Linked DNA regions of Caenorhabditis elegans. The protein of the gene in region 2 interacts with the protein of the main gene of each other region in a pairwise test. Each region holds a gene or a part of one and is shown on either strand. Other genes may lie near its edges. The genes, in order: R01H2.1 and K02E2.7.

The links.
Region 1: the proteins of K02E2.7 (region 2) and R01H2.1 interact in a two-hybrid assay, tested with the Caenorhabditis elegans proteins (one large-scale study listed by BioGRID).

Annotation. Positions count from the first base shown.
Region 1 is NC_003281.10:7,061,006-7,063,731, reverse strand, and holds R01H2.1 (Ovule protein), read right to left. Parts: upstream 853-2,726; coding exon 538-852; downstream 1-537. Other genes in the region: R01H2.4 (SERPIN domain-containing protein), read left to right, coding at 28-108, 1,238-1,646, 1,693-1,850, 1,894-1,980, 2,045-2,211, 2,261-2,361, 2,407-2,488, 2,534-2,621.
Region 2 is NC_003283.11:20,383,953-20,388,831, reverse strand, and holds K02E2.7 (Cilia- and flagella-associated protein 251-like), read left to right. Parts: upstream 1-1,789; 5' UTR 1,790-1,858; coding exon 1,859-1,924; intron 1,925-1,969; coding exon 1,970-2,053; intron 2,054-2,098; coding exon 2,099-2,233; intron 2,234-3,041; coding exon 3,042-3,158; intron 3,159-3,212; coding exon 3,213-3,264; intron 3,265-3,359; coding exon 3,360-3,578; intron 3,579-3,628; coding exon 3,629-3,709; intron 3,710-3,752; coding exon 3,753-4,063; 3' UTR 4,064-4,102; downstream 4,103-4,879. Other genes in the region: F53H2.1 (SH2 domain-containing protein), read right to left, coding at 298-357, 444-560, 691-819, 926-1,009, 1,052-1,117; K02E2.11 (Phosphatidate cytidylyltransferase), read right to left, coding at 4,600-4,637, 4,697-4,742.

The DNA.
Region 1 (2,726 bases), on a different chromosome or scaffold from region 2:
TTAAATAATCTTTTTTGACTTTTCTAGTTTTTCCGTTTGTTTCGTGTCGAGGAAAAGGTGTTTGAAGGATTCGGAGAAGTCAGAAGATGGGCCACGAGGAATTTAGAGGTACTTTATGGGAAAATTCATATAAAGTGGTTTTACTCTGGGTTGAGTTGTTGAGGTTAAAATATTTCAGGTACATGAAAACAATCGTCTGCTGTTTTGGGATACTGTAGTTGTAGTATAGCGCATCCAAAGCCATCATGTTGTTGTTGTTGTCGTGCAACATGGCGGCCTACGCCGTCTCAATAGACATTTGTCACGCGTCTCCACCACCCGGATCGTAGAGTCTAGACGGCCAGTCCAATTGCTTGGGCGGCCTCTTTGGGGGAAGTCCACAGTTTCTTCATCTTGATTGGTTTTCTTCTTCCGCATAGAAAGTGTACTATCCCTCCTTCTTTATCCCCACAACCACTTGTACCAACCGGGGTACCTTCAATTCTCTCCTTGTATTTGGGGATCATCAGTGAGTGGCCACATCGCATTCTTGCCAATTCAACTCTCGTGGGTTTCGGAAGGATTTTCTCTTCCTCGATGTTCAATGCTGGCGGTCTTGTTCCCAGGATCCTGTTTGGAGGAGCTCCTCTCAGGAATTCCCTGACGAATCTCGTATGGTTTTCTTTTTGAGCATTGAGTTTGGAACCTCTGTGTCCTCTCAGCACGGTTTTGGTTGATTCGGCTAGATTCAATGGTGGCTCCCTTGGTCTGTTGGGTTTCCTCTCCGCTTTTCTTCTTGATTCCAGATTCTTGTTTGGATGGGAGGAAGATTTCAGCGTGGCTATATAGGCTTGTTGCCTTGCCAGAAGCCATCATATTATCAATTTGTTTACATGTTGGCACAAAAACGCGTTCTTGCCTTTAAGGCCACCTACGCCTGTCTTTTGTCAATACTGCTCTTTTGGTGTAGAACCCCGGCTACTGTAGGCATATCAAAGTTTTAGTTTTTACGCTCTTCTCACTTCTAGTGCCGTTTGTTTGCAAAGATACTAATTTATATTTTTGAGAATTCAATAATATTAAATTTAGAAAAATCCAGTTTCATAAAATAAAATAAAAATATGAGTTTTGGAGCTAGTTAGTACTGCGTGGCGAGACCAAACGAGAGAATTGACGTGTGCTTTTAAAGTGAAGTTGCAAGTTTTCAAGATTTTTACAATAAAGTATAACACTCGAAAAAAGTTACCAAAATTTTCAGACGGAATTCGCCAAGTCACAAAAGGTCCTGTCTATGTGGTCACGTGATCTGTCGCATTTAGATCGGATGAAACAACAAAAAATAGTGGATGAGCTCAGTTCCAAAGCACAATCGTCGGGAAATTGCAGAAAACAAAAAAAGGATGAAGCATGTCAAACTGGAAATAATAAAGCATCTGCATCACTGATTCCTGTATTATCATCACCAGTTCCAAAACATGGAATTAATTATAAAGATCCAAATGAAGATGAGAAAAAGGCACCGATACTTGTGTGGATAAATCATGCAGTTGTTGAGATGCCTGATGAGTACTTTGATGGTGAACATGTTTACACGTGGAATCACTTGGAATATGTGAGAGTTCATGGATCTGTTGCAGAGCCCATTAAGATTCATCGAGGAAAATTTGGTAATTGTTACCGGACATTCGATCTGATTCTAAACAAAATTTTCAGAATTCAACACTGTAATGGTTCCTGCTCAAAATCGACAACTTTTGATGCTCGTTTTTTATGGTTATAAGTCGGGATTATGCTCTCTAGAAGTCATGCGAAAATTCGTTTCAAACTATTATGATTCGAGTTGTCCATGTATTGTTCGAAAAGCGAATGATGTAAGTTTAGAGGATTATATTATACTGAAAGTTCTGGTTTCAGAATAATACCTCGCCGAAAATGTCAATCTATCTGCCACATTGGAAGACTAAAGATTTCCCATCGAGTAGGATTTCACAGCATTTGGTGGTTTGTTTTTTGAATATACATAAAGAAGTATGTATAGAAACCTCTAAAAATATGTTTGTTTCAGGCTACGATGAATCTAAATTCATTGTTTGTTGCTGGAGGTTTCGGTGATTTAGCTGTAGAAGATGCTGTTCCATCGGCAACTGGTGATCCCAAAAAAGTCAGTCATCTCCAACACTTTGGGCTTCTATCATTCAGAAATTCTCCGAAAAAGACTTATTTGAGAACACCGTAAGTTTTTGAGTTTAAATAAAGCTTAGGAACTTTTTAAAACTTTCAGAGAGGAAAAAACATTGCTCGGCAAAAAGTCTCGTCAGTCCCGAAACAAGAAGCAAAAGAGAACTAACAAACCTGTGAAAATTCCGATGAATGAAAAGAATGGTAGGATCAGTGAGAATATATGCAGTAATCGTTAACTTTTTCCAGCAAATCAAGTCGAATTGGTGCAGTACCCAATATGCGTTGTTCTTTGGGATCGCCAGCATGAAATTCCAGTGTATATGGGAAAGTGAGTCCCCAAACAAATCAGCTACAACTTTTCTTTGAATTTCAGAGTAACTGGCGAGAAGACAGAGCAGGAAATCGAAGAGATGAAACTTAAGGAAACTGAGAAAAGGCAGAAGAATTGGGTTTGTTGTTGAATCCAACCGCGACTGTTCAAATTAAAAATAATTGCTTTTTTAATTATTGATTCCAATTTTACCATATGAATAAAGTATTGAATAACAAATTTAGTTGTCCAGCTT
Region 2 (4,879 bases):
AGACGCAATTGTGGATATTGTTTTAATATTAAATGTTGTTTCATGAAAAAATTCCTGTCAAAATACAAACGCGCCGAATTTCAGCACCTAGAACATTTTTCTGAACATAGTTATACAAATTTGGCAACTTTGAAAGTGTAGATAAAGTAACCGTAAACATTTTGTTAAATAAAAATAATTTGCTAACTGTTATAGTTTTTGAGCTACACATGTTCGAAGAGCTGAAGCAAATCACCGAAAACTTGGAAATGAATAGAATATTGGCCGGCACTGTATGTAATAAATTCGCATTCCTACCGTATTTTTGTTTCTTTCGTGACGTAGGAGGCTCTTAACATTCAAATCCCGGTCATGAAACTGCAATACAATTGTCTCTCAATTTACACAAAGTCGAATAAAAATATTTGGCAAATCTTACTGCCAAGACAAATTTTTAAACTTACAGTAACATACAATTTGTCATCCACAACAACATAAGTGTAACATTTCTGTTGATCCCTGGCTTGTTTCAAGACATAATCAACAGACTCCCGATACTTCCAGTAGAACCTATCCCAATCCTGCAAAATTAATCAACTTTTAAAGCCAACTACTAGAAACATTTGTTTTAAATAGATATCTGACTCGAAGCCAAGCAAAAAGACGGAAAGTGGGTTTCATCATATTAAAACTTATCAAAATGAAACCCACTTTGTTTGAAATAGCCCATTCAACGTCTTCGTAGAATTTACCAACGTATCCAGTATAATTTCGGTGAGGATTAAGTAGATACTTCAAACATTCCATAAAGTTATGAGCGCAATATGTGACCGTGTAGTTCTACAAAATGTTTAAACTCTTGTGATTCCACAGAATTTGCACAGAAGTAACAATAAATGAATCTTCTGGTGAACAAGACTTAAACTAACTGAAAACTTGAAGTTACCTTTGGTAAATCGACAGTTTTTAAATTCTCTGATAGTTTTTTGAATTGGGCACTGTAGAAGTTATAGAATTTTCTATATTTACTCTGAAAAATTAGAAATTGAGTTATCACTTAATTTTTTCCTACTTTTTGGGAGCATTCATTGAAGAGTTGTATCATTTCCGGTGTAATATAAAAACAAGCGAAATCCATTCTGGGAATTTCACGAATTTAACTTGTAAGCACTGCGGAAAGTTATCAAGAAACAAAATGTCAACTGAACTGATGTGCTGAAAGAAAAAAACCAAAGGTTAACTTATTGCTAGGCCTATGTTGAAAATCGATCACTGATAACAGTTTGTTTGTGGAAACATTTTGGAGTGAGGAATCGTTCAATATAGTTTGTAATCAACCTATAGGTTGCAGAAATTGTATGAGGAGTGTTTTTATTTGAAAAAAAGTTTGCCGTACATTCACTAAAGTAAAAAAAAACATGAATTTTGATTTGAGTTGTGCTTTTTTTTCAATTGAGAGACTTTTAAGTCTGTCGATTAAAAAACTAATAAGAAATTCGTAACTTAAAATGAGTGAAGATCGCATAATAATAATTTTCCAATAATTCCAATACAAGAAGTCAGCTATGATCTTACAAAGGCCAGAAGCAGGATGTGAAAATTTTTCAGTTTTAGCAATCGTACAAACAAATTGAATACTCTTTACTTTCTGAGCGGTTAAAAACTGATAACAGAATAATGTACTAGGAATAGATATTTCAGTTTAACATCACTATTAATTCCTTAGATGTGAAAACTCCTCGTTTGGTTTTTCTGCATAAACATCAAACTCTTATCAGTAACTTCCAACATAGACATACATAGCAATACTTTTCGAGTCACAGTTTTGTAATTGACATATTTTTTCTTGCTCATTAAATTCTATTAATTCGATTTCATAATGGAAATTCCATCTTTTCATATTACACCAGATATGAGAAACTTATTCAGTGAATGTGTTAAAGAAGTAAGGTAGTTTCCAAATTGATGACTTAATTCTTAACTTTTTCAGGGAAGTTATAAACTTTTCTACGACTTATACAAGAGTGAGTTCGAAGATCTAGCCGTACATTTGAAAACTGTCAGACTACCGGAGGTAACTCAGCTTTTACGGCGCAGTTGATAAAAAGTAACGTTCAAGGACACCGTACTCCACTACTGCGTAAGCAACTTCATGGAATGCGTGGAATATTTAATTCATACTGGCCGCGGATACAACTATTATGGTCACGTTTTTAGCTTTTACAGGGATGTTGACTGGGCAATTTTAAATGGAGTGAGTTTAAATTAATTTGATTTACATTTGAGCCACTTTCTTATAAAAATACACATTAAAGGTGGACTACACCCTGTGGGGAAATTGCTTTAAAACATGCCTTTGGGGTCACAATGACCGAATATCATGATGAAAAAATTTTAATAAAATTTCTAGGTTTTAAATGATTTTTTGAAAATTGAGAAAATCTCAGTTTTCCCCTAATTCCTATTTGAATTTCCGCCAATTGAATTCGTTCGATGGAGCGCGCTTGCATTATTTTCATAATTTTTTTATTTTATATTCATTATTTCACTGAATTTCTTTATTTTTTGGGGGTTTTTCATCGGAAAATGAAAGAAATAAACAAGAAAGAAGCAAAATGTTTATTTGAAAGTAATTGAAAATGCCTTAAACTCTGAAATTATGCGATCCGACGACGATGAGCCTGAAATTAATATTATTCAGAGTTTTAGGCATTTTTAGTTACTTTTTAATAAACATTTTGCATTTTTCTTGTTTATTTCTTTCACTTTCCGGTAAAAAATCCCCAAAAAATGAAGAAAATCAGTGAAATAATGAAAATAAATAAAAAAATAATGAAAATAATGCAAGCGCGCTCCATCGAACAAATTCAATTGGCGGAAATTCAAATAGGAATTAGGGGAAAACTGAGATTTTCTCAATTTTCAAAAAATCATATAAAATCTAGAAAAATTTTTTACATTTTTTATCATGATATTCGGCCATTGTGACCCCAAAGGCATTTTTTAAAGCAATTTCCCCACAGGGTGTATGTAGTCCACCATTAAATAATGTTTGACTTCAGGATTGGAGCAGATTTTACTGGAAATTTCGCGACTCCGTAGATTATGTTATAAAGAAAGCAAGAGAGCAACGGAAAATTCAAATTTATGTTGTTGAAGGAAGTGCACGTTATTCTTCTGTAAGTCATGCCTAGTTCCCAAAGATTGAACGTTTCTGACTTATTTCATTGCAGTTCCGTAGCCGTGATCGCAAAAATCCCAAAGAAAATTCTCCAGAAACTCGAGGTATGGTTTAATTTTTTTTAAGTCTAAAAAAAATTCAGCACAACCCTCTGATAATCTAAAACTAGACGTCTTAGTATCAGAAAACTCTGATTTAGTCCAAAAACCAGTCCTGGAAGATTTTGAGAAAAAATCGCAAGAGCGGGAAAATCGAAGACGAGAGCTTGAAGAGGAGCTGAGGAAACTGGATCTAGAGGAAAAAGAGCAACTGGCTATGATTTCAAACTTCAAAAGCCCGGAGCCGGAACTTCAACCAATTTCCCCGCCACCCTCAATACATGATGACCTTATAAATGACATGGATGGCGGAATGTTTGGTTAGCTCACACTTTTGAAAAAAACAACTTGTTTAAAAAAAAGTTTGTAGGTTCTGAAAAAACTGACGATTCAAGTTTGGAAGACTTGCAGCTTCATGTACAAGAAATGGACAAGAATACTATGTTAACAGGTTAGTTAAATTTTTTATTATGTATAAACATGTGTATGTACAGAAAATTTCGATCAAGATCAAGAAGAACTGAAACTTTTTGTGCAAGAACTAGAGCAAAACGCTGCTGAAACAATTAACAATTCCTCTCACCAACTCGAAAATGCTCTGAAAGCTGAAGAAAATATTGAAACTGAAATCTCTGAAGAAGAAGCTAGCGACGATGAAGAGGAAGACAATTTCCACACAATGCTCCAAGAACAAGCTGCACGTCACAAGGAAGAAATGGAAAAAGTCATGAAAAAACGGGCGGAGCAGAAGAAAAAGCTTGAGGAGCTAAACAGAAAAGTTAATGCAATAGTTTTTTACAAATAACTTAAGTTAGGTATTGTGTTCTTAAATCCTCACAATAAATCTCTCACTTACTATATATTTCGAAAACTTGCTTATTCATTGCGAATTTCAATTTTTCATAAGAAAATCTGGTTCATAGAACTTTTAACCTTTTAACCGATGTCATTCTAAACACTTTTGGTATTTCATTGACAGGTTCTGAAATTTGTTAAATAATTTTAAAACTTTTTGAAAAATTTCGAAAATTTTTTTTGGAATTCTCTGAAACTTTTTAGAATTTTTAGAATTTACTTTTTAAAATCTGTATTTTTCTGAAATTATTTAAACACTTTCTGAAATGGCTCTTTTTGTAGAGTTTTCAGACCTTTTCTGGAATTTTCTGAGCAAACTTCTAATATTTCATTGAGTGTCTATTAAAATTATTTAAACAATCGATTCATTGACAAAAAATAAAAAAATATGAACAGATATTCTGTATGAGGTGTCTAAATAAATTTTAAAAATCAAATTAAAACTTGAGTAGATATCGTGTATGAGGTTTCACAACCCTTCCATCTTTAAAACCCGTTGCAGATAACTGGTACAAGGATTATTTCTGAAAAATAAAGAAAATTATTGTATAAGTATGTACATATTTTTTCTCTAACTATGTACCTTGAAAACGCTTCGAATAGTTATTCAATTTCGCCTCCAGGTCCATCTACAAACAACATTCCTGAAAAAAAATTGGAAGTGAGAATTTTTTTCAAATTTAACGCTAATATTTGATTTTCCAAATTAAAAAAAGATAAAATCTTCAAAATTCCAAACAACCGATACAATTTTGGCCAAAACGAG